Linked DNA regions of Schizosaccharomyces pombe. The protein of the gene in region 4 interacts with the protein of the main gene of each other region in a biochemical or structural test. Each region holds a gene or a part of one and is shown on either strand. Other genes may lie near its edges. The genes, in order: cdc7, byr4, etd1 and spg1.

Evidence for each region.
Region 1: the proteins of spg1 (region 4) and cdc7 form a complex in vitro, tested with the Schizosaccharomyces pombe proteins (one study listed by BioGRID).
Region 2: the proteins of spg1 (region 4) and byr4 form a complex in vitro, tested with the Schizosaccharomyces pombe proteins (one study listed by BioGRID).
Region 3: the proteins of spg1 (region 4) and etd1 form a complex in vitro, tested with the Schizosaccharomyces pombe proteins (one study listed by BioGRID).

What each region holds. Positions count from the first base shown.
Region 1 is NC_003423.3:3,220,921-3,230,724, forward strand, and holds cdc7 (serine/threonine protein kinase SIN pathway Cdc7), read right to left. Parts: upstream 5,586-9,804; 5' UTR 5,511-5,585; coding exon 5,484-5,510; exon of another isoform or gene 5,432-5,483; coding exon 5,297-5,431; exon of another isoform or gene 5,256-5,296; coding exon 5,226-5,255; exon of another isoform or gene 5,177-5,225; coding exon 5,112-5,176; exon of another isoform or gene 5,065-5,111; coding exon 4,811-5,064; intron 4,761-4,810; coding exon 4,299-4,760; intron 4,259-4,298; coding exon 4,017-4,258; intron 3,949-4,016; coding exon 3,885-3,948; intron 3,848-3,884; coding exon 3,495-3,847; intron 3,454-3,494; coding exon 3,319-3,453; intron 3,283-3,318; coding exon 1,861-3,282; 3' UTR 1,431-1,860; downstream 1-1,430. Other genes in the region: Ras1-Scd pathway protein Ral2, read right to left, coding at 1-1,261; serine/threonine protein kinase Ppk24, read right to left, coding at 5,900-6,351, 6,434-7,367; meiotic septin Spn7, read right to left, coding at 7,960-8,240, 8,283-8,395, 8,435-8,946, 9,098-9,191, 9,242-9,323, 9,368-9,572. UniProt on the Schizosaccharomyces pombe protein: Protein kinase essential for cell division. Plays a key role in initiation of septum formation and cytokinesis.
Region 2 is NC_003424.3:959,739-967,554, forward strand, and holds byr4 (two-component GAP Byr4), read right to left. Parts: upstream 5,071-7,816; 5' UTR 4,697-5,070; coding exon 2,699-4,696; 3' UTR 2,576-2,698; downstream 1-2,575. Other genes in the region: poly(A)site selection protein Seb1, read left to right, coding at 323-679, 870-2,375; hem13 (coproporphyrinogen III oxidase), read left to right, coding at 6,692-7,630. UniProt on the Schizosaccharomyces pombe protein: Has an essential role in ensuring cytokinesis and septation occur only once during mitosis. It does so by interacting with the ras1 signaling pathways, thereby suppressing them.
Region 3 is NC_003424.3:5,084,308-5,091,534, reverse strand, and holds etd1 (Spg1-binding protein Etd1), read right to left. Parts: upstream 3,557-7,227; 5' UTR 3,447-3,556; coding exon 2,537-3,446; exon of another isoform or gene 2,475-2,536; coding exon 2,209-2,474; 3' UTR 1,897-2,208; downstream 1-1,896. Other genes in the region: MAP kinase kinase kinase Win1, read right to left, coding at 1-1,094; translation initiation factor eIF4A Tif1, read right to left, coding at 4,794-5,972; RhoGEF for Rho1 Rgf2, read right to left, coding at 6,855-7,227. UniProt on the Schizosaccharomyces pombe protein: Involved in septation.
Region 4 is NC_003424.3:1,297,715-1,304,747, reverse strand, and holds spg1 (GTPase Spg1), read left to right. Parts: upstream 1-3,657; 5' UTR 3,658-3,729; coding exon 3,730-3,859; exon of another isoform or gene 3,860-3,905; coding exon 3,906-4,114; exon of another isoform or gene 4,115-4,267; coding exon 4,268-4,351; exon of another isoform or gene 4,352-4,391; coding exon 4,392-4,466; exon of another isoform or gene 4,467-4,505; coding exon 4,506-4,604; 3' UTR 4,605-5,036; downstream 5,037-7,033. Other genes in the region: knd1 (cullin-associated NEDD8-dissociated protein 1), read left to right, coding at 1-2,831; protein Utp8, read right to left, coding at 5,037-7,033. UniProt on the Schizosaccharomyces pombe protein: GTP-binding protein essential for the induction of septum formation at G2 and pre-START stages of mitosis. Acts via the cdc7 protein kinase pathway.

The DNA.
Region 1 (9,804 bases), on a different chromosome or scaffold from region 4:
CCGTAACTCTCCCCATTTGCGGCTTTCTGTATACACCATATCCTTCTAACTCAATAAAAACTATGTGATCGTAATTTGATTGTCGCAAATTATAATCTTGGGTAAGTTTCCTAGTTTTGTTTCCAAAAACCACAAACCTATTCGTACAATCTAAGACTAGACATTTGAACCACGATCCATGGTTTAAAACACCCAGCATATCGAGTTGCAACCAAAGCTCCTTGTCAAGAGAATAGACCCAAAGCACGAATGCCTGTCTGGAGCTCGTAAGGTAGATTCCAGATAATATTAAGTTGTCTCCAAGTATGTTAACAGCAGGAAACCTTAGTCCCGGCGGCATTGCTGAACTTAAGAATTTTTCAGTAACATCAAGCTCTAGGAAACGGAAAGATTGGTTATTATCTTTTGCCAAAGCGGCTGATTTTTTTTCACTTTCGGCAGTATCTAATTCAAATAATTCCAAGTATATTACTTGCCTCTTAACATTGACAAAATTGTAATTTAAATAAAAAAACAAAGAACCGATAGAGTGCTCATTAGAATCCTGAGTTGTATTAATTGGTCGACACATCTGTAAAAATTCACTATCTTTGTTTATTACCACACAATTCGATCTGTATATACCACAGTGATGATTGAACAGGGATTTAAAAACCCATTTTCCCGAATCCAGGTCAAAAATATTTATCTCTTCAATATAGCTGTTTGATAAATCTTGCCCACAAAATATAATAAGATAATGATCTAACACGCAATGCAAATGTCCGTAACGTGCTGATGGATATAAGTGTTTGCTTTTTTCATCAACATCAGATCCATTGACTTCTTTAGCATCGTCATTTGTCTGATTCTCTGTTATCATGCCAGGTATATGAGACCATTGCTTAGTCTCAATATCATATATGTCGATGTCGTTAAGAACATAAAGACATTTTGTATCATCATTAAATCCCATACCACCAAAGAATATTAATTTGTTATTCCATAAATCCCCTGAATGGAAATACCGTGGTATCGGCTTTTGATTTCCTTGATATTCAACTTGCTTCCAGGAACAAGTGTTAAGATCAACTACATACATATCATTAACAAGCTGCGCATTTAATGCATCGCGTCCTCCATATACAAAAGCCTCGTCTCCATATTTTATAACTGACTCCCCAATCAGCGGTTTTGGGACATTATTTGAAGATAAACTAAATGTAGAAGTAAAAATGTTTGTTGAATTTCTCAAAGATATATTCCTTTTTACTTCTGACATAGATATAAACTGTTTAGCAACTCGACGTTAATAAGAAATATCAAAAAAGTGATTTTTCCTTCCACATAAAAATTAATAATTACTGAAATGCAAACAGTCAAAAAAGATTTATGCAATAAACAAAGCAGCAAATTAATAGCCAAAAATGAGAAGCATAAAAATCATTGTTGTCCTTTTGTTTTAGTGCATATTTCTTCCTGTATTGCACTATCGTAGCGTTAACTGATATAGTGAAGTTAACTTTTATGCACACCTAGATTTTAAAATTCGAAGCACTTGAATGAATAAATATAAATATACACTGTGATAAGCATATTATAAACCTTTCTCTTAACGTTTCTAAGATTCATCAATATAGATTCGGTAAATAAATAGTCTTCATTGCGGTACTCAATTAGATTGTATTTCAGGTATAAACACAACTGGTAACGTACTTACACATGGAATGATAATATATTAATATTAAAATTAGCAAAACTTTCGTTTAAAAAATATTGATTCCATAATCCCAACCTTATTTATTAATCATTAAGCCATAAATACAGAAATATCATAAACAAGTAATATAGTCGTGCACTGGGAAATGCGTTTAATAGTGTTCACTGCGTTAATGGCTGCTTTGGTTGCCATCTAGGTGGAGGCATATGCGGTTTCGAAATGGGGGATTTGTGCTCATTGATGGGACCCTGTGGTACCTTCAGGTATTTCAGCAGGTCTTTTGCTAGTTCTTTAACAAGCACAGAATCACTTGTTTGGTTCAAATTTGCAACCACATCTGGTAAACCACAATGCGCAATATAAGCAACACTTTGGCTACTAGCTTCACACATTGATTTCATAATTTGAAATATGTTTAGGACCACAATCGGCTTGGTCCCCTTATGAGTTAACTTTTCTTTAAATTTCTGGAATATTATAGGCTGGCCATAAGAGGCTGCCAATCTTGGGGAAATTTGACAAACCCTGCCCAAAGTATCTAGCATTCTGTTTGAGGAAGCTGATTGAGAAATACAGAACACCTTTAACACTAATTGTACGTTTCTCTTCTCTGCCAAAACACGTTGTACTTCACGGAGTTCAAACTGCAACCAAGATGCGATCGTATCAAATACCGCAGATTGCCAATTAAGATCTGATAATAACGAGAGAAAAAAATCTAAGCATTTATTTTGCCAAAGATAAATTCTCGACACTGGACCAGCCTGTGGCAAAGCTAATAATATCGGCAGCGCAAACTCCTTAAACAGTCTGTCTTTAATAATCACCTCTTGCAATAATGGAATAGCACCAGAAATAACAGCCTCTTCTTGCGATTTCTTATCTAGCTTACACACATTGAATAAAGCGGCCAAAGCTTCGCTTCTAATTTCTTTTCGTCCTTTCTCAATTTTGCTGTCACCGAGAATATGTGTCAAAAGAGGTATTATATGAACTTTCCTAAGAAGCGACAAAGATGAAGGAACCATTGAAAGTTGCTTGAAAAACTGTAAGGTAATCGCCATATCAGAATGCGGCAGATAAAGCAGAATACGCAATATCCTTCGAAGAGCACTTTCGCAAAGAAGTGATTCCTTAACATAATTATCAGCCTGAGATAAAGCCAATAAAATTTCACATATACGTGTTAATGACATTCTTGAAGAATCATCGTCAGTAGCCAAAGCTTTCAGCATGGCTTTGGTCAAGGGCTCTAGTGAATCATTTACAACCATCGTACAGATATCATTTTTTGGAATGTAATCCTGTTGTCTCAGTAATTTCCATATTCCTTCTACGCCAACAAAAACAAAGTCACGGTTCGTTCCATAGTCCTCTTTAATAAATAATAAAAGCGAATTCAGACCATTTGAGCTCAAAAACATTTGTAATGTCAAAGCAGAAGTTCTATACATCTGTTGAATAAAGATAGCACTTTCATATCTAAACTCAAAAGAGTGTTCACGATTAGAGAATGACAACATAAGCGGTAAACCTCCAGCAAAGCAAACTTTTTGTAAAGTTGTGTGATCATCGAATGCAACCTAACGTTAGTAAAATCACGCATTAAATATCCTTACAGTGTTAATGAGCTTTAATAACAGCAATTGAACATCAGGCGTTTTTATTTCGCGCAATGTCTCTAAAAGTGGAAGGATACCATGCGCTTGTATTATCTCTCGTTTTAGAGAAAGATCTTCACTAAGTATAGAAGCCTATTGTCAGTTAAATTATCAATATAAAAATATGCACTTACTATTTGCGAAACAGTTGTATCCTTCGATCCGATATTCTTGTCACGTAGTGAGCCTAACAGACTGGAAAGTAAGGAAGCTAGATGCGTTCTCTTATCTAAAGCAATGTTGTTTTCAATATCCAAGTTTTCTAAGTTTGTTTCAATAGAGTCAAAGATATCCGATTCTTCCCCATCCTCATTTTCTTCATTATTCCACGAGCCATAACATTTGTTTAAAACCAAAGTCCCCAGTCCAGTCTCCTTTCTCAATCCTTGAACTTTGATTGAGGATGTAGGGAAAATATCAGTAAATTCACTATCTCTGGGTGTCTCGACAAATTTTTCAATTCCGTCTGGTATATTCTCTTTAAACTCTAGATAATTAGTTATATGTTAGTATCAGATACTTACCAGTTGACAAGTATCTTTTATGTTGCGGAGTTTTTTGATGATCTATTGACCGGTTGAGAGCGGGCTAAAAAAAAGGTTAATTATTTATTTAAAATCATTAAAAGCTCTAGAAAATCGAGCTGCATTATTTACCTTAGAGGGATCAAATTGGGCTTTGAGAGGAGTACTCAACGGTGATGCATTAAAGTTGTTTGATTCAGAGATTTGATCTGAATTAAAAGCATGGCGAGACTTCGAAGGGGATGATGTTATGGAGCTGGAATTATTTTTTCCTTTAAAGTTACTGCAAAAATCCATAAAATGCTCAGATTTCTTTAAAACATCGTCACTGATTTTAAGGGTTCCTTGAAATTCATTGTCCCAGTTATCATGATCTAAAAATGTTAGAGTAGTTAAAAAGTATCATAAAGCTACCTGGGGACTCGGCAATTGGTGTTTTTGGAGACTCAGGCATGTGATAAGAAGACTGCCTGCCAGAATGAAGAGTCGGATTGATTCTGTTGGAAGTAGGCTCGATAATAGCTGTCAAAGTGCTTTCTTTCACTCTTTCATTATATTTTTGAACCTCGTCTATAGCGTCAGAAAATTTAGAGGAGGTTTGGTTCATTATCACCCAAGGATGTTTAAGAAGTTTTCTGGTCTTAATTCGTAAATTTGGGTCCTTTTGGAAACATTGCATTAAAAAACTTTTAGCAGCCGAAGAAATATTTGAAGGCAAGGGAGGATGTTCATCTTTCACCATCCGAAAAAGAGCGGACGTAGGATCTAAATCATAATAGGGAGGATTTCCATCTAACAGTTCAATAACTGTGCAGCCAACACTCCAAATATCTGAGGCTGTTGTGGCGCCTACAAGCTCTATAACCTCGGGAGCCACTATATAAATTGTTAGTAATGTTATAACTATACGCTTAGAAAAGGCTTACTCCAATAGGGGCTTCCAACAACACTATGATCCTCTAAAGCATTAATTTTCGTCGCAACCCCGAAATCTGCTAACTTGATAGTGCCATCTTTAGTAGTAAGTATATTGGCACCCTTAATATCACGATGGATAACACCCTGATTATGTAGATAAAGTAGCCCTTGTAATACTTGAAACGTATATAAGGCCACTAGGTTTTCTGGAATCTTTCCAAAGTTTTTACAAATTGAGCGCAACGATCCGTTTTCGCAATATCTATATATCGTTAACTTGAAAACAATTTTTTAAAGAAAATCACGTACTCCAGAATAATGCATAGAGAATCGTTCGTCTGATAAGATCCCCTATATTTAACAATATTTGGATGCTACCACGTTTAGTATTTGGCGACCATTATAAACGAATGAGTAACATACGTCCAAATTTTTAAGCAAATCAATCTCCATCTAAAAATTGTTAGAGAAAAATAGTTGAGATCCCTTCATACCTTAATGACGGAAAGATCAGATTTTAGCATTTTGGATAGTTTAACTTTTTTTACAGCCACCGTTTCTCCATTCTTTATATTTAGACCACGGTATACTGCACCGAAGGCACCCTTGCCCAAGCAATCCCCAAGAGTCTGAATATGTTATTGAAAATCCAATGGCTATTAACATTAAATACTAGCATACGATGGAAGATGCTTGGATATTGTGCATGACTATTGAATAAGTTACAAATTAAAAATTGAATTTATTTGTAATTTTGAATGAAAAGACAATTTGGTTTTGTTTACGATGTAGCATTTGCTGCGTTTGAAGAAGTAAGGACTTTATAGTGTACATACACATTTAGTACGGTACCTGAACTTGCATGTTATAAACTCAAAAGAAGTAAATAGTAATAATTAAGCTATTTATAAAATCATTAATAAACAAAGATTCTCGTATAAAAGAAAAAGCGTATTATACAGACATATAAAAAATATTGGCAAGGATGGAACTAATCCGTTGGTTAAGTAATGTCAGTGGAAACACCATGTACATAGGAAGAATGAGTTCATTTTAGCTTGGAAAGTAAAGTAGAAAAGACAGTGATTTAAACTACGTTAAACAAGTGTCTGATGGTTATGAATCCGAGGAATCAAACTTTTCCTTGTAATGGGTTTAGAAGCATCAAAATCAACTTCCTGTAAACTCTTATTTTCATGATCGGTAGAGAAGTTACTGCAACAATCCAGTTTCCGTACCCATGCAGTACCTAAAATACTATCCAACGACGGCCGATTCTGGGAATCAGGATTCAGTAAACTTAGTATAATCTTCTTAGCACCTTCAGGTATATATCTGAGGGGCTGCAATGTAGGTATTTGTTTAATGACTTCGGTTTGGAAACTGGATTCATCAGTTGAAGAAATACCACAAGTATCTGTAAGGATTGACATATACTTTGAGTAGTAAAGATCAGTTTTCACGGAAGTTTTAAATGGAAAGTATCCAGTAAACAGAACTTTAAGCAAAATACCACATGACCACCTATCTGCTAAAAGACCACAATATTCTATCAATTGAACTATTAGTACGTCGTTTTTGAAATAGGATAGAGCTCGTCTTGCTACACAATTTATACACATAAGACTTACCATTTTCATGAAATGCTTCTGGTGCTAGATATGCCAAACTTCCAACAGCACCCGATACGAAACGAATGGATTCGTTATCACCAGGATTACCCACAATTTCGCTGGTACCAAAATCGGTGAGCTTTAACAATCCATCCCTTCCGATTAAGATGTTTTCCGGCTTTAAATCTCGGTGCGCAATACGTTGAGATTGCAAGTAAGCTACTGCTTGAAGAATTTGCTTTAGATAACAACATTTGTCTTCTAAGGTCAAAACTTTTTCTTCAATTTGCTTAAATAAATCGCCTTGAGGACAGTACTCTTGAACCAAACAAAACCCAGCGGATTTATTAAATACGCTTGTCAAAGTCACACAAGGGCAGATAACTTTCAGAATATTAGGATGGTCCAATTTTGGTTGGATTGACCATTCCCTTAAAAAATAAACCATTGTATTCAATCTTTTTTTATGCGATGTTTTCGTTTTCCGATATACTTTGGCAGCATAGTATATCTTTGCGTCGGTGATTTTATCTCTGTGAGTTACAACCTTGATTGTAGAGGTGGCCCCTTTAGCTATTGATTTTAGATGCTGAAAGTCTAAGCGAAATCTTATTTCGGGTAATATACGCTTCAGTGAAGGATCTAATCCAATTGCGAAGTCAGACATTCCAATAAACGAAGGTTGAATTGAATGAACGGAAAGTAAGCTAGTATTACTGTCTAAGTATTCATTTTCTAACCATGGTGCAGTAATTGTACTTGGCTTTATAACGACGGAAGACTTCTTGGTTGTTGATTTAGAAACATTTATTGAAAAAAATTGGAAGAACTCTTTAGGAAATCTCCCAAAAATATTTTCAATCGAAAGACTATTCTTATTCTCTGAATTCCTTTGAATTGCTGAATTGTCCACGAAAATTGTCCCCTGGCGAAAAAAAGGATAATTAGTCATTAGTGACAAGCCGCTGAAGCTAAGAAGCCTAGTTACGACTTCAAATTGATTGATTTTTTATGTACTTCTTCTTTATTTTCTTACTAAAAAAAGAGTGTTTTCAGAACAACCTCATCATTTATTCTGTTTAGATAAAGAGTTACGTGTTAGCAACCTCAAAATTGCATAGTTGTAATCATAACGTCTTTGAAAGAAACGAAATTTCCAAAATCATATGCTCACGAATGCCTAAATCGATGAACGACCGTTTACGCATCTACGACTCAACCTGAAAGACGTAATGATGAGCATTGGATTGATTCGACTCATTACTCAGTAATCAACAGTTAAATGAATTTGTAAATTAATATTTTATTTAAAAATACCAAACGAGACGTTCGGCAGCCCTCAGTTAACTCATCGTTTCAAGTAGGTCATAACAATGCACGTGTGGGTGCGGTAATCTAGTAGTCTAATGAATGCTTATGTTAAGGACATAGGTAGAGAAGTAGGTGTATGATTAAGCAATTAAAAAGAAATCAAAAGACTTTTCATGAACTTATACTAAATTATTCTTTTGATTGTTTATAATTTGCACTCTCAAATGTTTAATTTAGCGATAGAAAGGGAGGTTTTCGTAACGCTCATGAGACAAATCATCCATTTTCTTCATCTCCAATTCCTTTGTCGTATTGTTGGGTAGACTGTTTCGACTTGATGTAGTTCTGTGAGGAAATTCCTTTGGCGATATTACTTCTAATCCAATTTGTTCACAGTTTAATTGATTAGTTTTAGTTTTAGTATTTCCATAAGAATCGCATTTAAGACTGCTGGTGTTGTCAACTTTGATGGAGTTAATTTTCTTTAACTCCTCAGATTTTGTAGAATCGGAGACTGCGTTCATTAGCACGAAAATGAGAGAATGCATATACTTACCATTAGTTCGCATTTCTGATTGATCAATCGAAGATCGAGTCTCCGTTCTCTCAGAACCATTTACACTTCTTTTATCTTCATTTGCAACTATGGAATTTTGCTTTTGCAATGACCTAACTTATTAGCTCGCTTATGCATAGTTAATTTCTTACAATGATGTGTTCGAAGGTGAGTCGTTGGACAGTTTTTCTGTACGATAATTCTCATAATAGGTTTGTTTAGTTATACTTTTGAGTATATCCAAATGAGAAATAAACAATACGGTCTTCAAGTTAAGAAAATCAGAATGTGCAGGATCATCAATTACGAATGTTCCCCATTGGAATTTCTTGACGATTCTTTGATATCCTTCTTCATCTTCCTCTGATACCCCTCCAGATACAGCGAATGGAACACTTTCCCAAAGTCGTTTGTTATCCTCAATGACTTCGTCTTCATCCTCCTCAGGATCCCAAGGAAAGTCAAATACCTTTATGTTACATTGTTTCAAATCCTTCATTATCACATCTTTGAAGTTCTTTAATTCTTCTTCAGTAAAAGCGTTGGAGTTTCCAATGACAGGAATTACGTTTACGCGCTTTGAAAACCGTTTCATGGCTTCCAAATCAAACTCAGACAGGCAATGTCCACGGGGTGCAATAAAATAAAGTAGGGCATCAACGCGCTAAAATATCGTTAGAAAACTTTTTTTTCATTCCTCATTCTTAAACCAATGTGTTCTCTTGGTTTTCTACTTAACAACATTAAATCAAGTAATGGAAGTAACTTGATTGAAATAGTTAAGGACGGAAAAACTTTGTTTGCAGATTTCGTACCGTATCAGTAAATTTAGAATTTCTTTTGATTTTAGATTCTTCTATCAAGGCTTGATCGAATTGGCTTTCCAAATAATGAGTAACTACCTCGAAACTAATGCATTGAAATTAGCTTTAATTTAGAAAAATACCTTTTGGTATTACCTAGCTGAATTATCAATTTTATCTCCGAAACCATTTACTTCAATGACCGTAAGGTCAACATGGAACTCATCTTCTAAAATATCTAATTACAGTTAGCACACGAAAATTAAAACCGTAATAACTCACCAGCATTAAATTCCCTTATTTCCAGTATTCTATCAATATGAGCTTTTAGCGGATCTATCTCTGTTTCAGCTTCCAGTATTTGTTTACTGCACAAGCTATTGATACAAGCTTGGTAACTGGTGTAGCTAGATCCTGCTACCATTATGCGAAGCTTTTTTCCCTTTTTTGATAAGAATTTTGGACGATGTCTTGGGCCTTTATTCATCTTGAAGTGTTTGCTGTTGGAAGAACTTGGGTTTGTTTGTTTACTGCTTAATAAAGGCACCGATACGTTGGCAGTATATCCATTTCGCAAACAAGGAAAATCCAGAAGATTTCTTTATACAAAACTTTTCAATAGTACTTTTAAATATAGTTTATATTTTTTCTTCCAGTATTCTTCTCTAAATCATTTTGTGCCTTAATCATCTTCGCATTGTCCAAAATTTAAGTAATTT
Region 2 (7,816 bases), 340 kb from region 4:
TTCATACATTTTTTAAAACAATATGATATATATTTTTTTTTACAAAGTGTGAAACTTTGGAAATTTTTAGCATCTCTTTAAGCACTTTCCTTACCCTTCCGTAATACCAGCTTTATAACCAGCATCACCTACTTCACCACTTAACCGTAACCATAACACAAAAAGTATTTAAGAACAGGGTGACTTCCTTTTTTAACGTCTTTCAAGCACGTGTAAAAAACTAATATAAGAAAAAAAGTAGTAAAATTCTTATAAAGGAAACAGGGTAGTTTTCTAGTTTTGAAAAGTTTTTTTTTTTTTTCATTGTCGTTTTTCTTGTGATATGTCGGGAATCGCTGAATTCGATGGTATTTTAGATTCCCTTGAACATTCCAAGACAGGAATCTCGGGATCAAAAATTTTGAAATTGACTAACTTGTCGATGGAAAATGTTTCAGAGAATGCGCAATTTGTTGCTAGTGTGTATAAGTATGCGAAGCGTGCTCCCGTCACCCATAAATTAGGAGCTTTGTATATTCTAGACTCAATCGTTCGTAGCTTTCAGGACGGTGCTAAAAAGAATAATGAATCTTTTGAAAATCCCGTTGATGCGTCTTTTAGTGGCGGCTGGTGCAAAGCTGCTGAAATAACTGATAGTTTGGTCGCAGATGCTATACAGCATGCGCCATCTGCTCATTTGGTATGTGTAGCTGAAGTTTTTCAAGGTTGACTACGGATAAGATCCCGTATGGATAATCGTATGCTCTCTCTGCTTCTGTATCAGCGAGACACTGTATGAGAGAGGTATTTTTTCCTTGTAATACAGTATCATTCTCTTTGAGAAGTCTTTTAACATTATTGGACTAATTTGTAACTAACTAAGCATGTAGCCTAAAATATTAAAGCTTTGTGATATTTGGGAGAAGGCTTCAACATTTCCTCCCGAGAAGCTAGAATCGCTTCGTTCAAAGCTGAAAGATGCAATGGCAAGTACGGAACCGGTTAGTGTAGATTCTGCTGCTGCTCCATCACAGTCTACTAATCCCGAGGGGAATGGTGGTTCTGTTGGTAGTCAAGCAGCCGCCCCCACTTCTCGTCCTGTCGAAAACGATGCTGCTTCTATTCTAGAGGCATTGGCTGCTTTCGCTCAAAAGGCGCCCGTCCCTAGTGCTGCCGAAGAATCAGTTAGCACTCCACCGCAGCCTGCCGTCGCACCATCCGTTTCTGCTGTCGTCCCTAACCTACCTGTTCATCCAGCTACCGCCATTAATGCACAGTCTCAGTCAGGCAATCCATTATCAAACCCTCTATTCCAACCTTCAAATGTACCACAGTCTATTCCCTCTGGTCCCATGGGGATGAAGACAGGATCGGTCAATGATACCCAGAGTCAACAGATCACTCTCATGAATGTATTGGCTTCTCAGAATGTACCACCTGCACAAATCGATAGCATCATGAAAGCTGCTTTTCCCAACTATAACGCTCCATTCCAGCCGGCTGGTGTCGGCAGTGTTCCTTTGCCAGCTCCTACCTCTTCCCAATCCTTAAGACTCGGCTCCTTACATCGTTCTCGTAGCCCTAGTCCTCGTAGTGGTCGCCCTCGTCGTAGCCCTAGTCCTTCTCATTTATCCATTCCTTCTACTTTGCCTCCTGCAGATGGTGTGCCAAAACCTACCCCTGATGGATTTCCTCGCCGATTTGAGCGTGACCCAACCATTCCACCTGATTCTATTAAGGTATACAGCCGTACTCTTTTCCTTGGTGGTATTACTCGTTCTGTGCGAGAACCTGTTCTTCGATCTATGTTTGAACGATTTGGGTCTGTACAAAGTTTAATTTTAAATCATAATTACAGACACGGGTTCTTGAAAATGTTTCGTCGTGATGCTGCAGAGAAAGCTCAAGTAGCGATGGAAAATGTCCCTTTTGCTGATACTACTATTCGTACTAAATGGGGTGTAGGATTTGGACCTCGAGAGTGCTCTGACTTTTCCACAGGAATCAGCGTTATCCCAATCCGTTTGTTGACGGATGCCGATCGTACCTGGCTTGTAACTGCAGAATATGGCGGCACGGGTGGCCTTCCGATTACTCCTGGTATCGCTTTGGATGAACCTGATATTGAAATTGGATTAGGAATAAGTTCTAAGGCAATTAGTAAAAGAGGAAAAGATTTTGCTATGCGTCGTGATGAGCGATTCCGGGGTCGTAAACCATATAGGGGAGGTCCACCCATTCACCATGGTGAAAGGCATTTTGATTCAGGAAATGACTGGCATGGTAATCCTAGTACCGTTCCTCCCCCTACCAACCCATATAATCCCGGCTATCCATATATGGATCCTAATTACTCTTCTGGGTATGTCTCACAACCTCCTTGGCAACCCCAATAATGTGTTAAAAGACGCTTACAAGTATTATAATGATGGCAAAAATGGTTTCTATATTACAGACGGTATTTAAGGGTATAATGTATTCGGTCCAAATTTAATTGATTATTTTCTTTGTATTGTCTTGTTCAAACAATCTAGTTTGTCTGGGTGTCACATTAGTATTACATTTGTATCATTGTTGTACATCTTATACATCTATTTGCAAACAAAATGAAAAATCTTCGAAGTGTATTAAGCTATGTACAAAAAGATCAAATCTGCGATAAACAAAAGCATTCGTATAATTATATATAAACATTCGCAAGGTAAAGACAAAACCTTGTTTATTGTTCGGCATTAAGTATATTATAAAGCTCCCATAGTCGTGACCTGTCATCGTTTTTAAATGAAAAAAACCAGCCATCAATTCTCTTTCGCCATTGAATATCTTCGCTAAATTGCTTTTTTTCAAACTCTGGGCCGACATCGTATATTTCACTCATATCTGGAAAATTGATTATTGAGTTTATGCTACCATTAAAGCTACCTGAATTTTCGTTCAAGTACTGCGAGGTGGAGTCTGTATCCTCAAGATCATCAAACCCGCTAAAGGGATCTTCCGCTTCTTGACCAGAAATCGAATTATCAATCCATCGTAACCTTGTAGGGTCATATACCATATTTCCGACAACCTGGATTCCTTTTTTTGTAGAAATGTTGGAAATTAATGCTGGACGGCTAGGCGAGATAGGGGTATCAAAATCTCTAATTGCATAATCGTTTCCTTCCCAGCAATGTTTTGTGGGATTATATCGCATTTTTCCAACAATTTTTGGGGTTCTAGGGGAATTTAAATTTTGTATTAAAGTAGGTGCCTTTTTATGGTGTCTGCGTTTTTCTTTGACGCTCAATTGATCATTGGAAAGCGATTCTTTTGTTAACTCTTTAGAAGGGGCGGCATGAGTTTTGTGTTGCCTTTGAGACCGAATATGCTCATTTTTTGCTGAATTAGTTATATTATTTAAATTATTCTCATGTTTCGAAGTAGATCTAGGGGTAGTATGTGAATGCCATTCTTGAGTTGAACCTGCGTGTTTACTTTTAGGCGTTCCGGAAACTTTGGTAGTTTGCTTTTTTCTCAATTTAAGCTCAAATTCATAATCAACTGGTAATTCATCTAAAGTATCAAGTTCTGTACCATCTCCGTAAGTCTTGCAATTTTTAGGCTTTGTTCTGTATTTAGAATTACTTGCAACTGTCTTCAAAGCGTCCAAATCCATCAAACCCATCGAATTTTTCGAATGATAGATCTTCAAATTCGAGGGAGTCCATGTGGAGCTTATAGAAGAATTTCCCTTCACGGGAGAAGAATGTTTACTCGAAGCCTTCAACGTTTCTGGATAATGAGAAGACGTATCCCTTTTCGAAAGTGTTTTCGAAGAATACTTTAGGTTTGGGTTATCAGAATGAGGGTTTTCATTAGCGAGTGAAGGAAATATGTCTTTACAAAGGGGATAATATTTTGCATCCTGATGCACATTAGGTTGATAAGAAATTGTGGAGGAAATATAAGGATGCTTTTGGTTGATGGTATTTGGAGATCGAATCTTTTTCCGAAAGATCGATTCTGTTTCGTTATTAAAGTCAATATCAAAATCATCCCAAAAGCCGTCGTCATTATGCGCAGAGGAAGGCGTACGAAGCGAAGACTGTTCTACGCTGGAAAAGGAAGCTTTTGGATCCATCCTATTTTGTTTTCTGTGCAAAATACTGTTTAGGTCGGTATCTGGGTCTATTTCAAAATCATCTTCAAATGAAGAAAAGCCTTCCGATTCACAATAAGGGGAGTCCGAAACACTGGGATACCGAGCATCATTTTCACTTGAAAGATATGTTTTCTTAAGAGTATCACTAGAGAATGGAATTGGAGGTCTTTGAGAAGCAGTTTCAGATGCTCTAATAGTATTGAATTCATCAACATCGGCATCTTGGTATTTATTGGGACGAAGTGTATTAAACTCATTATTACCTTCTTCACCTTCTTCATCGAACGAAAAATCATCTTCATAGCCTTCTACATTGGAAGAAATTCGGTTCTTGTTGGAAGACAGTTCATGGTTTAAATTATGTACTTGTTGATTCCATTGTTCGACACGAGAATGAGCGCTTGGTACATCAGAAATTGAAAGGCTATTAAGACGACTAATAGAGTCGTCAAACGAGAACCCATCATCCACACTCGTACTAGCACTAGTGGTAGCTATGGATTGAGTAAATAGGCTAGCATTATCGACGTCGGAAGCAAAATCAGGATCATCGTCCCAGCATTCAACTTCAGTCATTCAATCAAAATAAACGTATACTAAAACGGCTTTGCTAAGAAAAGAAATTGGATGCAAAACGCATAGAATGATTACTAACCGTATTCACCCAAAACTGAAAACCCTAAATTTGATTTTCAAAGAAAAAGAAAGTGAGAGAGAAAAAGGATGGTCACTAATTTTGCAAAGAAGTAACCACTGTAAATATTTACGCTTTCAAACCCAGCTTCGAGAAGTAATAAGTTATGAACAGCAATTCAAAAGGACTTCAGGAATATGATTATGATGATGCTTTCAGAGATACAATGAAATTTTGTTTTGTATAGAAAGCAAAAAAAAGAATTTAACTTATTTCAATGACAAAATCAAGGAATCTGGGTTAGCGGTATATTGTTGAAAGAGACGGAGGTTGAGCTAGAGGTATAAGTGTAAACACCAACTTGATCAATTTACGTACTTTGGTTTCAGTACTTTACGAGAAATCAATTTTTAATAAGGTGAAAAATAAAGCATCTACTATTTGCTTGTGTAAACCTAAAAAAAAAATAGTTTTTTTTGGTATCTTTCAGTCATATTTATTTTTGCTAGATTAATCATAGTAAAATACTTAACCATATGTGATTGCCAAAATGCATAGCTGCACCTCACCTTAAAAAAATCTAGGTAATCTAATTAGCATGCAACTACGAGTTAATGTTTTTTAAAAAGTAGATAAATTACAACGAAGGTTAGTAGGTGAAGCAATAAATAGTATGTTTAATCGTCACTCGTATTAGCAAATTCATTCGTCTTAGAATTTTATTTTCCTCCACGAAAATATATATATTTTTCTTTGAACGTTTAAATTATTATAAACAATTGCTTTCTCTGAAATTTATGCCCATTTACAATTTAATTCTGTTTATGGAATCTACATATTCGTTCAAGTATATATGAAATACATTTTAAGGAATCTTTTTTTATTAGATTCTTCGTATAATTTCTAAAATACATACTATTTTCATATACGAGTTTAGATAAATTACAAAAAAAAAAAAAAAAAAAAACGATTAAACTATAGGTTAAAAAGTAAATCTATTAGTTTATAACAAAAGAAACGTCTTTGTTTTATTTTAGTTTATTTTTTTACATCTAAAAAGTTATTGAAATCAACAATGGTAAAGTTGAACAAATTAACTCTTCAATTCATAGGTATGAGAAACCGTTCTTCATTAGTAAATCCAAGTATGAAACATAATCATGTTTTTACCCCTATGCGATCGCGCTATTCATATTTTTCCTAAATTATTTTTAGCATCAATTCTGTCTATAGTTTCATATAATTTCAGTGATTTAATCATGTAATTATTCATGTAAAGTTCATAAAAAATATAGGTTGATGATCTTATTAATGTTTGTACTTAAGAAATGGTAAATCGAACAAGTTGAAAAAGTAAGCATGGCATCTGTCTTATACTCTTGTGCTTTTCTGTAAACCAAGCAGTTAAAAACATTATTGCTTGCTAGTAGCGAAGCAACTTACAAACATTTCTCATAGACGAGAAGTAACTCCATTTTTCAGATAGTCTAATAATAAGTCAAAGAAAAGGATGTTTAACATCATCCTAATCAAATTCATATAAAACTAATAATTGTTTTCCATCGAAGGAATCTATATATCGCACTACAAGGTGCAGTAACGAAACACTCAGATCGTGGAATCCGGATTGTGTTCTTAACCTTACGAGAAAAACGAGCCATTACGGTCGTGACTGTCCAGAAATCGTTCGATTTTTAAATATCTGAATTTAGTCTATTTTTTGATATAAATCCCCCTAATCCCATTCGCTGCTGGCACAGTGTTTTTGTGAAAACAAAACAACCAAGTTGTAAATTTAATTCGCAAGTTGAACAGTGTTTTGATTCTTCACTTGTGTTAATACCAATTCATCCAATCGGTTGTATCATATCTTAAATACCATTTTGGTTACTTTTTTTTTTGGACATTTTGAGCAAATCCGTAAAGTAAATAAAAAGATGTCTGACATTACCGTTGAGCCTATTGGCAAGCAGATGGAGAAGCTTATTCTCGATGTTCAGCAAGAAATTGTTGCTGGTCTCGAAGCTGTCGATGGACAAAAATTCTTCCAAGACAAGTGGACCAAGGGAGAAGGTGGTTATGGTATCAGTTGTGTTATTCAAGATGGCAACGTTTTTGAAAAGGGTGGTGTCAACACAAGTATTGTTCAAGGAAAATTGAATCAAGACGCTGTCCAAAGAATGCGTGCTAATCATGAAGGTATTGATCGTACTGCCAAAGAGCTTCCATTCTTTGCTGCTGGTATCAGTATGGTTATTCACCCTCGCAACCCCATGGCCCCTACTACTCACTTGAACTATCGTTACTTTGAACTTGTAAACAGTGATGGTAAGAAGATTTGGTGGTTTGGTGGTGGAGCCGATTTGACTCCTAGCATTCTCTTTGAAGAAGATGGCAAGCATTTCCACAAATTGCATAAAGAAGCTTGCGATCGCCATGACCCCACTTTCTATCCTCGCTTCAAGAAATGGGCTGATGAATACTTCCTCATCAAGCACAGAAAGGAGACTCGTGGCATTGGCGGTATTTTCTTTGATGATCTTTCTGAGAAAGATCCTCAAGAGTTATTTGCTTTCGTCAAGGATTGTGCCCATACCTTCCTTCCTGCCTATGTCCCTATTATGGAAAAGAGAAAGAACATGGAATTCACTGAAGATGATAAGGAATTCCAACTCATTCGTCGTGGATACTATGCCGAGTTTAACGTTATGTATGACAGAGGTACTTGGTTTGGTCTTCAAGCTCCTGAACCCCGTGTTGAATCTATTCTTATGACCCTTCCATTACATGCTTCCTGGCGTTACAAGTATGAGCCTAAACAAGAGCGTCACAAGGCTCTCCTTAAAGTAACGCATACCCCTATTGAATGGTGCTAGAAAGATTCACAAAAATGACTTTTACTTCAGCATTTAATGAACATCACAATTTTTGGTAATAGCTTTATTCTTTCGTTTGTTTTTAAACTATGCCATGTTACACTAACTCATGTTAAATTTTCTATCATGCCTTTTTTGCTCTTCATTATTTGGAATTCTTAACTGTTTGAATTTGCGATTTTGAAT
Region 3 (7,227 bases), 3.8 Mb from region 4:
CATATTTCCATCCACAAATTATCAGAATAATCACTATTTCGCCCTTCTCGAGAAGAAGCAATCTTTCTTAGCCGTAATTTTTCAGATCGGACTATATCACCAGTCAGAACTGAAGTCAACATATATTGCCATTCAAAACGTTCTTTGTTTTTTGGGTTAGCCATTAAATCATCAGAAAGTAAGGATGGGAGATTCAGAACAGATTGTACCCAATTTACAGTTGAAGTCTCAGAATCTAAATCCGAGTCCTCCTCATCATAAGTTTCATTAACATTAGAAAAGTAATAAGTTGAACTATCACGACGAATGCTTAGAGAAGGATCGTTATAATCATATTCTGGGTCAAAACACTTTAACGAACTACTCAGTCGTCTTAATTGAGATTTCCTCTCAGGATGATCTTCAATTTTAGCAAATGTTATAGAATTTCTTAGTTTGTGAGAACGCTTGGGCTTTTCTGGCAAATTTTTAGTTTTGCTTGGAACTGCTGTTGAATTTATGTGTTCAACATCAATCATTGGCGACGAAATAGAACGTCCTCTGTGCATATAATCGTCTTCCTTAATACCGGGAGACTTTATTATCCTATTTGAGCTAATACTACTTTGCAGACTAGGTCGGATAGGATGATCGAGGTTTGAATGACCAGCATTCTTAATTGGTATAGGAATGGAAGAGGAAGAAGTAGGAGGATGTAGTAGATTACTAGTATCGCTTGGACTTACGGCATAAGCACGATCTAATTCATCAATATTGATTGGGTCAACAGGGGTAGAAATAGTAAGGGCCTCGGCTGGAGGCTGTTCAGCCATTCTGAAAGCTTCTGAAAATAAGTCCTCTTTGGCGCTCGCCTTGGATCTATCACTTGAGCTACGCGCAACAGATGGCCTTCTGTGATTTTCTTCTTTTCCGTTGTTAGGAAGTTCAAGCATAGACGAGGTAAAACTTGAAAGTAAAGTCAAAGAGCGACGATGAGCCTTTTCAAATGTTTTATCACGCAATTCACTATCAAGAATTGGATTGATAGAAGATCGCCTTGAGCCATTTTCTAGTATATGTGAATTGACCACAGAAGGATCCAAAATATTTTCCATGTTTGTTGAGGAACAAATTTCGAATTGCTTCAGAAGTTATGTATAAAAAAGACCGTTATACCCAAATTTAAACCCAAAACGGGAAACAGATAAGTTTGGAATAGTGGCAAGTAGTAGTAGAATAATTGTTTACTGAAGTCAAAAATGGGAGTGGGTAATGAAAAAGTGGTTTACAGATGCAAGGAATGCCAACTCAGTGTAAGGAATTGTGCAGCGAAGTCAATGCAACTACTGTTATATGTAAAAATAAAAAATCCGAAGTTGACAAAGACAAATAACGATTGCAGGAATTACCAACCGAACAGAATTCAGGTTGTAAGTATATTAAAGTAATGCAGTCAAATTGAGGAACGTAGAGAGAGAGACACACACACACATCCAAAGCAATGGGTTTTCGAAAAGATACGGTAAATATTAATGAGCAGAAAAAAATGATAAAATATTAAATGTAGAAATTCGGCTTAAAAAATCGATAAAAGTGTTGTGTAAAAAAATTATACGAGCCGAAGAGCAGTAAAACTACCGCGTATAAATTGTTGAAAGAGCAATAATCAGTGAACTAAAAAGTCAATCCTCCTTGTAGAATATGTGGAATTGACAAAAAGAAAATTTATAGGTTTGCGGTGTGCAAAGGATAAACAACTAATTGTGGTCTAACCCCGTAGTATAGTATGAAGTGGGGTACTAGTTTTAAGGATTTTCAGTGCAATGAGGAATTTCTCACTAAATAGCAAAATCATAGATATGGGTTTTCAGGTATTTTTGATTTACATTCTTTTACTTTAATTTAATAAAATCTTTTTATCACAGAATAAAGGTTGGACTAATATTCACAAAAGACAAAACATCTGTCTAGTACTTTTTCCGAAATATTATTGCAAAATAGATTTATTAAAAAGAGAAAACGAAAGAAATTTACAATAAAACCAAAAGCTTCTTAAGATGCAGAAGTATAAAAAGGTTGTAATGGCCAGTTTCACCTTTACTTGCTATCCACCAATGCGAAACTGTTCTCACAATTATTGAAATTATCCTAAGCGAAATTTTGACACTTTGGATAACAAAATAGATACTTCCCATTCCATTAATGGATTAAATAGCCAAAAAGAGAAACTCAGTGTAATAATAGTTGGAGTTGGGACATTAAATAATGCACATGATCGTTTAGCCCTGGTAGCATGGACGCATCGAAATCTAATGAAGAATCCCCTTCCAACTTAACTTTATATTTTGATAAAATGTTTTGCGCGTCCTCATCCTTTAAATCAGAATAATTTGCAGGATCCGCTAACCGTAGAATAGCCTTAGCCTCTCCTAAAATCTCTGAGTCCTTGTCGTAAATATCTTTGGAATTTGCCTTTTCGTAAAGATCTTTTAAGTCTATTTGTGTTTTTAGTTAGCAGCGGTTAAAACTAAAGCATTACAACACATGAATGTCTTACCTTTGATGGATCTCGTAAATTCCTTCACCTCAAAAAGCTGTTCTCGAACGGTGTGTCCTGCACTGTTTACCGTTTCGGGAATTATCAATGGACTATCGAATTTCACATTAAAGTCCTGCTCCCAATCTGAATCCGCATCGTCCGCAAATAAATCGCAACGAGATGAAAATCGAATATCCGATGAATCGTTATTTATATGAGTCGTTTGCGTATTGTCTTGAATGATAGGTTCCGACACTTTCGACGACTCTGGCGAAGTAGTCGATAACTCGTCCCAGCAAATACCATCCGAACTCTCATCTTCTTGCGTAGTCGCACCCAAAGAAGTTTCTTGGATTTGCTTAGCTAATTCATTTATCCGAAAGGAATCTGTCTCATTATCATCATGAAGCTCACCTTCAATAAATCCATTAACTGAAGGTAGTTCAGCACCTACACCACTAGCCTTGCTCCCTTTATTGGCCGAATTAAATTCATTACTTAACGCAGTTTTTTTACAGTTGCCTTTGTTTATCTCATTCGCCGTAAAGTGAGACAACGACGTACTGTCTGCACCTGAAGCGTTGCGTTGTACAGTACTTTTTGACTCAACTCCTATGAATGAAAAAATTCGTTTAGAAAATTTTCGGGAGTAACTTCTTAAGCTTTCAAATGCTGAGGGTTTCCTCCATGAGCCTTGATCTATGCATTCGGAGGTGTTAACTTCTTTCGGTAATCCAAGCTGTTTAGGGCGCCTCGGTGTAATATCTGAACCATAACTTTTCATGCCTTTCACATGCCTTCGTTGTAGAGTCACACCTTCAAAAGAATGACCCCTATTCTCTTCGAAAGTATCTGGAACCTCTGCCATATTGACAGAAGAATAGAAATATTCACTTAAATTTTGTTGACTGCCGTATACAACTCCCATTGACGAAATACTCGTAAATCTATATTTCTCTTAAGCTAAATTAAAGAAAGAATTATTGCCGTAGAGAAAAGACTGTACGCGTCAACCCATTCAAGTGTGTAAATAATGGTAGAAGGCACTTTCGTCAAGACCACGCTTTTGTTAGTAAACAAACGGTCGTCATGAGAACGACATAACGAATTTTGAACATGAATCTGTAAATGATTTATAAGGAAATACAAAGTTCTATAACATCAAAGAACGCAATTCGTTATGTTGTTTAAGCGCTATATAATTCTGATAAATACTTTATAACGCGTTAATCGTGGTTACGTTAAATAGGGCTTTGTAAAGATGGAATGCTAGCAGAGATAGACTAGGAAATGGAAAAGACTGTCTATTACAAGTTTTATTCATTAAAAATGTTCAACTTAAAATAAATAAGTTAGCCAAAAACTGAAAAGATGAATGACTCTACAAAGATTCAAAGCCACTGCTCGTTCATGAGCACAATGTTAGCATCAAAAGTTGCTATACGCCTTTCAACTTTCTTTACTTGCTTACGATAAACTCTTCAACTAACTCTGTTGATGCAGGGAAAACATTGTTTTCTTCTTTTCTTTCATTACATTGACTTAAAAGTCAAACTCTTTAAAACTAGTCAAATAATGTTTGCAGTTTAAAGCTACGTTTTTGAGAGCGTAAAGTGATGCAACCTTTAATCTCACAGTTAATATAAACATAGCGAATATAATAGGTTAATGGATCAATGATTAATAATAACTTTTACCTAGCAGAATTGTTTATTACTACAGACCATTTAACTTTTAGCAAAAGGAACTTCCTAATTCCTTACAAAAGTACGACTGGACAGTTACGGTTAACACAAATACGTTAGCTCTGAGCAAAAAAATTAATTCCACAAAGGTATACGCAGTAAATAAAAGTTCAATCCAAAATACAGATTGACATCCTCTATTCACTCATTTAGTTTTACCAAAAAACAAAAAAACGACAAACCTTCTAACCAAACTACAACACATTTATAAAAGTAATCACAGAACAGCTACACGAGGCTCAAAAGAAGAGTAAATATATGTAAATCAACCAAATCCAGCCTTTTATTTTGTGACCTAATGAATAAACAGCGTAGCCGAAAAAAAAAATCCTTTCTCAGCAAACACTAACACGACTCACAAAAAACCATATGGTGAGCAGCTATCAACCGGCACAGATAAAAGAAGCATTAAAAACATGGGCAAAGAAAAGCAGATAAATTAAGTTGCGGGAGGTTTGCCGGGTTGCGAGAAGAGCAATCACGGAGCGTTCCATATCTAGAACAAAGAGAAGAAAGGACTTTTGTATTTTTTAAATCAAGTCAGCAATGTTCATAGGCATTTCCTCAATGTGTGTATTGTAGAATTGTTCAATCTCACGCATCATGCGAACATCGTCGTTGGTAACAAAGTTAATGGAAACACCCTTACGACCGAAACGACCACCACGACCAATACGGTGAATGTAGTTTTCTCTGTTAGCAGGTAAGTCATAGTTGATAACCAAGGAGACTTGTTGGACATCGATACCACGAGCAAGAAGATCGGTGGTGATAAGAATACGAGAAGAACCAGTACGGAACTCATGCATCAAAGTATCACGTTGAGCTTGGTCCATATCACCGTGCATGGAGGAGACGGTAAAATCACGCTCAGTGAGCTGCTCGGTAAGCCAATCGACCTTTCTACGGGTATTACAGAAAATAACGGCTTGAGTAACAGTGACGGTTTCATAAAGATCGCAAAGAGTGTCAAGCTTCCACTCTTCCTTTTCAACGGCAACATAGAATTGCTTGATACCTTCCAAGGTAAGCTCATCTTTCTTAACAAGGATACGAATGGGATCACGCATAAATTTGGTGGTGACTTCCAAAACATCTTGAGGCATGGTGGCAGAAAGAAGAACAACTTGAGCAGTAGGAGGCAAAAGTTGGAAAATGTCGTAAATTTGGTCCTTGAAACCACGGGACAACATTTCATCAGCCTCATCAAGAACAAACATTTGGACGGCATCGGTAGGAAGAGCACGACGTTGAATCATGTCGTGAACACGACCTGGTGTACCAACAACAACGTGAACACCAGCTTGCAAGGCAGCCATATCATCACGAACAAGAGTACCACCAATACAAGCATGGCATTCAACATTCATGAGATCGCCTAAAGCAACAACAACCTTTTGGATTTGTTGAGCAAGCTCACGGGTAGGAGCAAGGATAAGAGCTTGGCATTGCTTCAAGCTAGTGTCAATCTTCTGCAAAACAGAAATTGAGAAGGTAGCAGTCTTACCAGTACCAGATTGAGCTTGAGCAAGGACATCACGCTCTCCCAAAATGGGCATAATGGCTCTTTGCTGAATGGCAGAAGGACGCTCAAAACCGTAGGCATAAATACCACGGAGAAGCTCAGGCTTCAAATTCATGTCGTCGAAGGTGTCAATAACCTCATCGTAGTTGGTTTCAATAACCGAATCCTCCAGTTGGTCTACCATTTTAGCAATCTTGCTTAGCTAGGTGAGTGGGTTGTGGAAAAAAAGTTGAAGGGTTGTAATAAATATTTTCTCTAACACACAGTCACACACCTGAAAAATTGTAATAATTCCTGATTATTTTAGTACTTTAAATACACAGACTTTTACTGAAAAATCTATTTAAAAAAATTATAAAAACATTTATGTACACACTTTACTTTTAAGATTTTAGATGTCTTCTAAAAAATGATGTAGCAAGAAAAACCCTACTGAACGTGGCGATAAACTCCTGCACACTCTATCGAAGCCTGCGTTAATGCTGTTTAATACAGATAAGCAACTCGTTGCGAAAAAGTGTATTTTACGTGGTAATATTTGGTGAATGCTAAAACATAAAAAATGTTAAGGAGTTTGGAATGCATATAAAAGCATTTTTTATTATTGTAACACTGTTCATGTTATCTTCAATAGTATGAAAAGTTATCGATTACACATGAGTATTTTAAACAATCACAATAAAAGATAATGAATGAATATGCTGAATGCAGAGAGGTTGTTTATTAGTTGACTAAAGAAATGCATAATAAATCTATGGAAAAAGAATGATTCGTAACAAAAACAGCGTGCAATGTTGAGCAAATTGAAAAAGACACAATTCGTTTAATAAAACACACAATCGTCAATAGCATTATCTCAACCATAGTAAATATATGTACGTAGGAATTTTTAAAGTTATTCCTTAAAGAGATGAAGCAGGGTCATAGATTCTTGAAGCTTAGATTGTAATAGCATATATTATAATCAATTGATGTGGCATGCAAAAGATGTCCGGAGTAGTAAATAGTATTCCAAAATGCTCAAGGAGAAGTTCGCACAAATGTTGACAGTACTGTCATAAACGATCTAAAGTGCAGGACCTGCTGCATTTGCTGGAGGAAGTATTAAAGAATGAACTATAGGATTTTCTCCAGATGAAAATGGAATTGGCTCAGTGCTGTAAAGTATTTCACCTCCTTCACTAATTAACCCTCGGCCATCAGTTAAAAGTTTAATGTTTTGTCCCATTATGATTTGAACGAGTTCGGCTGTTTCGGCATTCCTAATTTCAATGAAGTCCGGCTCAAATGCCAGGATATATGGATAACACAAAGCGCAACCTTGAGGTTGGCCCTCCCAATTAATCATCCAGGATTGCCTAGATTTCCAGCCATTCGTATTAACAAAGAATGCAAAATCTGAATAACAGAGGAGAAATTCTCCTCTTAAGCGAAACATG
Region 4 (7,033 bases):
TAACGCAAAAATTGTTGGAGGTTTTAGGATTGTTATTAGAGTACCAACAAGTGAATATTTTGAAAATTTGGCCAGAATTACATGGTCTCTTAATCTCTAAAATTTCTTATGATCCCAATTTAATATCTGATACTAATGATGAAGATGATATCGCTGACTTTCTCGAAGAAATGAGTGACTATAGCAGCATTTACGAAGATGAAGAAGATGTATCTTGGATTGTTAGAAGAGAATCTTTGAAAGTCGTTTTGTCTGTAATTTTGTCACGTTTAGAGTATTTGCCTATAGTCCTTCAAGCACTAGGGACTTCTGTGGTTAGTAAGTTAAACGATAGAGAGGAATCTGTTTGCTTGATTTCTATCGAAGTATTAAAACAAGCATTCTTGCATGTTCCTCGTTGGATAGAGGTGTATGCAACTTCTAATGATAGAAAGCGTCGTTATGAAGGGTTACCATCGGACCGTTCAGCAATATCGGATACTTCTATTTATTTAGTGTCTGTAATTGGAAAGCATGTCTCTAAGTTATCTGATAAAACTCCACTTTCCATTGTATCTGAATTACTGAACCTAGTTACAGTGATTTTTTCTTCAAGAGATCTTGGTGTTCAGTCCGAATTTTCAAATCTGAGCTCAATTATATACCGTTTTCCTGATTTTTCAACCCTTGATATAAAAATTAAGCTGAATTTAGTTCGCTTAATATCAGCTATCATTTCTTGCGGCTGCGAAGAGATAGAAAACATGGAATCTAAAATGTCAACTATATTAAGTTTAGCGGTACAAAACAACTACCCACAACTTTCATACGAGGCCTTAATTACTGAGCTGTCATTTTGCAAATATATTCATAAAAAGCAACCCACTAACGTCTCAACAGATTTTTCCACAATGATTGATTCTTCACTTCAACTTTTGGAATCTAAAATTTCTGACTTGAAAGTTCGTTTAGCTTTGATAGATCTGGTCTCTCAATACGTAATTCTTTTCTATGAGCCTGATTTTGATTCTATATTCCTGAGACGTGTCTTAATTATTTTATGTAAAAAATTACAGGAAGAGCCCACTAGAAGTGCTGCTGCAAGAGCGTTATGTGATATTTTCATGTCCGTTACAGATATTACTAAGATAGAAAATGGAACAAAAATTTATGAAGAAATACTCCAGGATTGCTGTAGGCATATCGACAAAAGTGGCAATGAATTTACGACTGCTTATTTGGAACTATTAGAAGTGCTCTTGAAAGTTGGACAAAAATATCTCGCTGAAAGCTTGCTTGAACATATCTTAGGTTTACTGATCGAGACTCTTAAAAGAAACACTGAGAATACGGTTGCAATTTTAAAATGTTTGCTAATCATACCTTTGAGTATCCTTTTGAAATCAAAAAATTTACTAATAGACACTATAATTTCTCATCTGCAATCATCAACCATACATTTGAACGAAGAGTCCGTTTGTTTGCTAAGCAGAATTATTGCTGTTATTTCGAAAGAAGAAGATTTGGAGTTGATTATTAATTCTTTCACTTGTGCACAAAAACCTGTTGAAGAAATGGTTACATTGGCATTGATTGCTGCACAACTGATTTGTATTTTTCAATCAAAGGCCATTGTTACGTCTCTGAATAAAAGTTTTATGAGTCCTAAATCAGAAGTACGGATAAAAGTTTTCACAACTTTAATTTTTGGACAGCTTGATTACGGGAAGCTAACACTTCCTGCAAATGAGTACTTTGATACGATTGCAAGTAATTTAAACTCGCCGAATGCAGATGTTATGAAAGCAGCAGCTATTGCCTTAGGGTCGCTTACTAGTCAAAGTGAAAAATTCATAAAAGAATTATGTGCTTTATACGTCTCAGATGCTTATGATAAAGAACTTTTATTAATTTCCTTTTTAACTTTTCTTAAGAAATCAAAAATCGATTATGAAACAGCAGATAAAATATGGGATATCCTTTCTAAGGACATTGAAAACATTAAAGACTTTTCCACTTCTCCCTTCAGAACTCTTTTATCTGAATGTCTTGGTCTTTTAATTTGTAATGAATCTTCTAGCTTATATTATAAGCTAGAACTTTTATCCTCCAGTGAAGCTTCAAATCATATGCTTTTATCTCTTTCGGTGTTTCGTTTTTCGTTGACATTGGACTGTCCTAAACTGAAAGCTTATGAGAAACAATTTTTTGAAAAGGCGTATAAGCTATTTCAAAATCCAGACCTCGAAGTTAGTCAAGAAACGTTGCAGGTCATAATATCTGTGATAAAAAATAGGCGTTCTTGCATTGCAGACGTTTATAATGAACTTTTACAAGGCTTAATTTCCAAATCATCAGTTGATTCTAGTAACGTTCATGTTGTACAAATGGGCCCTTTCCAACATGTGGTTGATAATTCAATAAATCAACGGCAGCTAGTATTTGAAACACTTTATTCCTTACTGGATATCCCTGAATCTTTGAATCATTTAACCCATTTTTTACAGGTTTCTGTCATGGGGTTAGAAGATGAACATTATATTAAGCTAGTATCTTTGTCAATCTTGGAAAAACTTGTCGACTGCAGCCCTTCAATTATAGACGAGCAAGTAGACACTATTTTGGAAGCATTACGAAAAATTATAGAGCTTAGAAAAACTGAAAAGACTTTAAAGACAGATAGCGATAATATCCTTGATTTGGTTCGTTCTGCTTTGAGAGTTTTGTTTACAATGAAGTTGAAGTGCGACAATCCTGTAATTTCTGAATTCGAAAGTCAAGTTCAAAAGGGTCCTTACTCCTTGGAATATGAGGGAATAAAGAACGAAATCAAAACTACAATTAAAACTTGAATTTGAATATAATGTTGGAAATTCCCTTTGAATTTTTACTGGCATTTGATTACCTACAATATTTCAATGTTGAAACCTACAATGCGCTTCTCAACTGATATATTCATTAATTTCAGATGAATCCAGTTGACGCATTAAACAGTAAAAGCTAAGGTGTGCAAAATGAAACAGAAAAATAAATGCTGACCATATTTGTCATATTGTTAATTATGATAATGTTTAGAGGCATTTGGTTGACTTAATATATTAATTATTACTGGCTTGTTCTGGTCGTCAAGCATTTTAAAAATGACACTGCCATGTTAACGTTCAGTCTTAGTGTAACTTCTAATTATCAGTATATGAACAATTTTAGTACCTTTATCATATTATGGCTTCATAAACACCTGGCGGCTCGGTACCACAATCCCTGGTAAGAACCCGAATTCCGTTGCAATGCGAGTAAAACCCAGAAAAAATAGTCCCGAACAAACTTATGAGTACAAGAATTACGAATAATTCCAAGAGCAATTAACAACGCATCTCATTTGGCTCAATAATTAGCACAAACAGTTATGGAATTTTACATTATCGATAGCAAATAATCAAAACTACAATTTACTGTAAACCCACCAGTTATAATAACTAGCTTTTTTATAATTACTTATTATAAATAAAGATCTTTTCTCGTTTTAATTTACAAACTAATATATTACCAGCATTCTTTCCATTGCTTAAAAAAATATATGTACAAGTCAACGTAACACGACGTAGCAAGCTATGTCATAATACGCTATTCATAATAAGCCAATATATATATTATAACACGAACGAGGCTTCTTATCCTATGCAAAGGGAAATTGTTCATCTACTGCCGGGGTTCAAGCAGAGTAATATCAGAGGATAGGAGTTTTAAAGAATGGCAGATGCTAGAAAAAATAACGTCACGATAAAAGTCGGAATGATTGGAGATAGTTCAATTGGCAAAACATCTCTTATGGTAACTTATGTTCAGGGCTCATTTGATGAGGAAAGCACACAAACGCTTGGTAAATATTTACCTTTATTGGGAGATTTCTAACTTAACAAACTTAGGAGTGAATTTTATGGAGAAAACAATAAGCATTCGAAACACTGAAATTACCTTTTCAATTTGGGACCTTGGAGGTCAGCGAGAATTTGTAAACATGCTACCGATGGTTTGTAACGATGCCGTTGCAATTCTCTTTATGTTCGATCTTTCAAGGAAATCCACATTAAATTCTATCAAAGAATGGTATCGTCAAGCTCGCGGTTTCAATAAGGTATGAGTTCTTTCGTTCCGATATACGTTTATGCACGTCCGGGTTGTTTTGATTTTGTTTTTAGAACCGATAACCTCTGTTCGTGGCTAAACTTCATTAGATTACTTTTTATCGTACTCAGTATATCTCTAACTTAGTTACTAACGCTTTCAGACCGCTGTCCCTATATTGATTGGAACAAAATACGATCATTTCATGACATTTCCTCGTGAAGATCAAGAAGAGATTACCAAACAGGTACAAAAATTACTAGAAGTCGTATTATTAACTTGGTTAGGCACGTCGTTATGCAAAGGCCATGAAGGCAAGCTTGGTATTTTGTTCTACTTCACACTCTATTAATGTGCAAAAGGTATAATATCAGTTGATATACTATATTGACGATTTTTAGATATTCAAAATTGTTTTGGCTAAGGTGTTTGACTTAAAATGTACTATTCCTGAAATAAAAAACGTTGGAGATCCTATTTTGGAATACATCGATCGCTGATTTTTAATGCTTTACCATCTCTTTCTTTTTTTTTTTACTCTGATTTTACCCACACTCCTTTATCATGTTTATTTTCCCGAATTTTTGTGTCATTTAAGTATTGCTACCTTTTCCCTTGCTTTTGGTTTTAACGACATATTCATTTACTCAACTCTCTGTCAAAATATTTAATGAATTATAACCACGATCTCTGCAACTTTTGGTTTTTTGTTTGAACGAAATCTGTCTAATTAAAAGTGATCTTTACCAGTCTTTTGTTTTATCAAACTTTTAGTTGATATAGCTTTGCAGTTGAAAACAAGGTCTGAAATATCTTTGAATGTGGTATACTGTCCCTTTATGTACAAACATTATTTAAATTAATTTTTGATAGATTTTTATTCCAAAAAAATAACCCCTATATGTATTTCACAAATAAACCTGTTTTTCTAATTATATTTCTAAACGTTCAACTGTATATTTTCCAATAGCCATGTCAATTTCTTTACCACGGGCACGTTGGCTTTTACCTTTTCTTTTTTCGGAAAGAAAATCTTTTTTCAGTAAAGTCGCAAGATCACCCATGTCATCCACAATTGCTTTAGGTTGTGGATTGGCGTAGAACTGCACTCGTTCAGCATGTACGTCTTTTTTACGCTTAACAATTTCGGAAATTGCAGGGAGAACAAGCGACATAGCTGTTAAATTCGTTAGCTTTTCCTGTAAATCATTGTAGAGAATCCTCGCAGCCTCTAAGTTTTCAGAACTCGATGCAACGCCTCCAACACCCATTGCATCGAGAACAACAGACAAACAGTAAATGTACGTTTCCAAATTAAACTTAACAGATGCAAGGTTAGAGTCTACTACTAGGTTGCCCAAGGTTTTAAAGAGTGAATCAAAATCCTCGGGAACAAAAGCTAAAAGCAACGCTTCTCGGGATGTCGTGCTATCAAACAAAGATAACCTCGCTAAAGCACTTCTTAACAACTTAACCTTGGAGGAATTGATAGCTGTTTTAATTGCGCAAGCTATTTCATAGGCTGAAATATCAGAAGTTCTTTCCAGGAAATTAAAGGCAATGTCTTTTTGAAATTTATACAAACAATCAAACACGGAGCCCGAGAAACCTTTTTGTACCAGAGTTGAGTAGCTAAATAATCGGTGTCGTATTAAGTAATTGAGTGTCCCTGAAGCTGCACAACTGACCTGAAGCTCATTTTCCTCATCAAGGGAAAACAAGAGACTTTCAATTGCATGAGCAAATGGAATAGGAAGCACACTGCTTGTTTTAAGAATTTTGCAATTGTTGGCATACTGATTCTGGTATCGTTCGACAACACCTAGGAACTTAGCATCAAACTCTATGGTATTTTTTTGTTCAGCTAAGGAACGCAAGGAAATTAATTCATCACGAAGTGAATGATCTTGCAACTGTATATTTTTCAATAGTTGGTCACGCATCGAAGGACCATTTTTAGATTTTGTTAAAACTCCTTCGCCGATGAGTTCATTGGTTCCGCGTAGCTTTCCGATTTTTGAAGTACGTTTACCAACTGCATCGGCAAGAAGCATTTTTATCGGCAATGTATATGGTACAATGGCCAGTCCCTTCTTTAATAATACAGCAATGTATCCAGTTAATTGGGAGTTTTGATTCATTTTTTTTAAAGACGACTTATAACAGGTAAAAGTGAGAATCGTGGGTTTCTGTTTCAAATCGTAAACATCTTGAATAGTTCCGAATGTTATGTCCCATAAAGATAGTTGACTATCATGTTGAATTAACAAAAAATTATCCGAAATAAGCTCTATGTGTTCAATTTTCGATATGCTTTGGAAATGAAGAATTTTAATAAGCATATAAGATTTGGACTCATCATGAAGTGAGTATATGGATAGCCCTTCGAGGGAAATCGTATATATACTTGTAGAGTCTTTAGACATCAGAATGTGCGAAGGAGCCTGAACTTCCTTTAGAACCACAGCTCTCGTATTCACGAGACGTCTTTCAGAAACTGAAAAAGAATCTACATAATATTGTATAATTTTGTCGACATGTACACTATACAATAAATATACCATGGATGTGGATGAGGTGACATTAGCGCTAAAACTGGTAGACCCTGACTTTGGTACTGAAGAAGTTGTGTCGCTGTTCATCTCGATTTCCTTTGGATTATTATTAGTGCCACTTGCTTCGTTAGATGCTAATCGTACAGCATCAATAGGATTTGCTTGTGAAGGAACATACATTGATTGAAGCAATGTGGCTGATTCGTTAACGGAGGCACTCATGTGAACTTTGTCATCTTCGGGATCGAGAAACGCAATTTTTCCGTTTCGAAATACAATCACTAGTTGACCAGTTGACGAGATGAAATGAAGAGCAAATATTTGTTGGTTGGAAATATCACGATATACAACTTCGCTTTCCTCCTCGAGGTCGT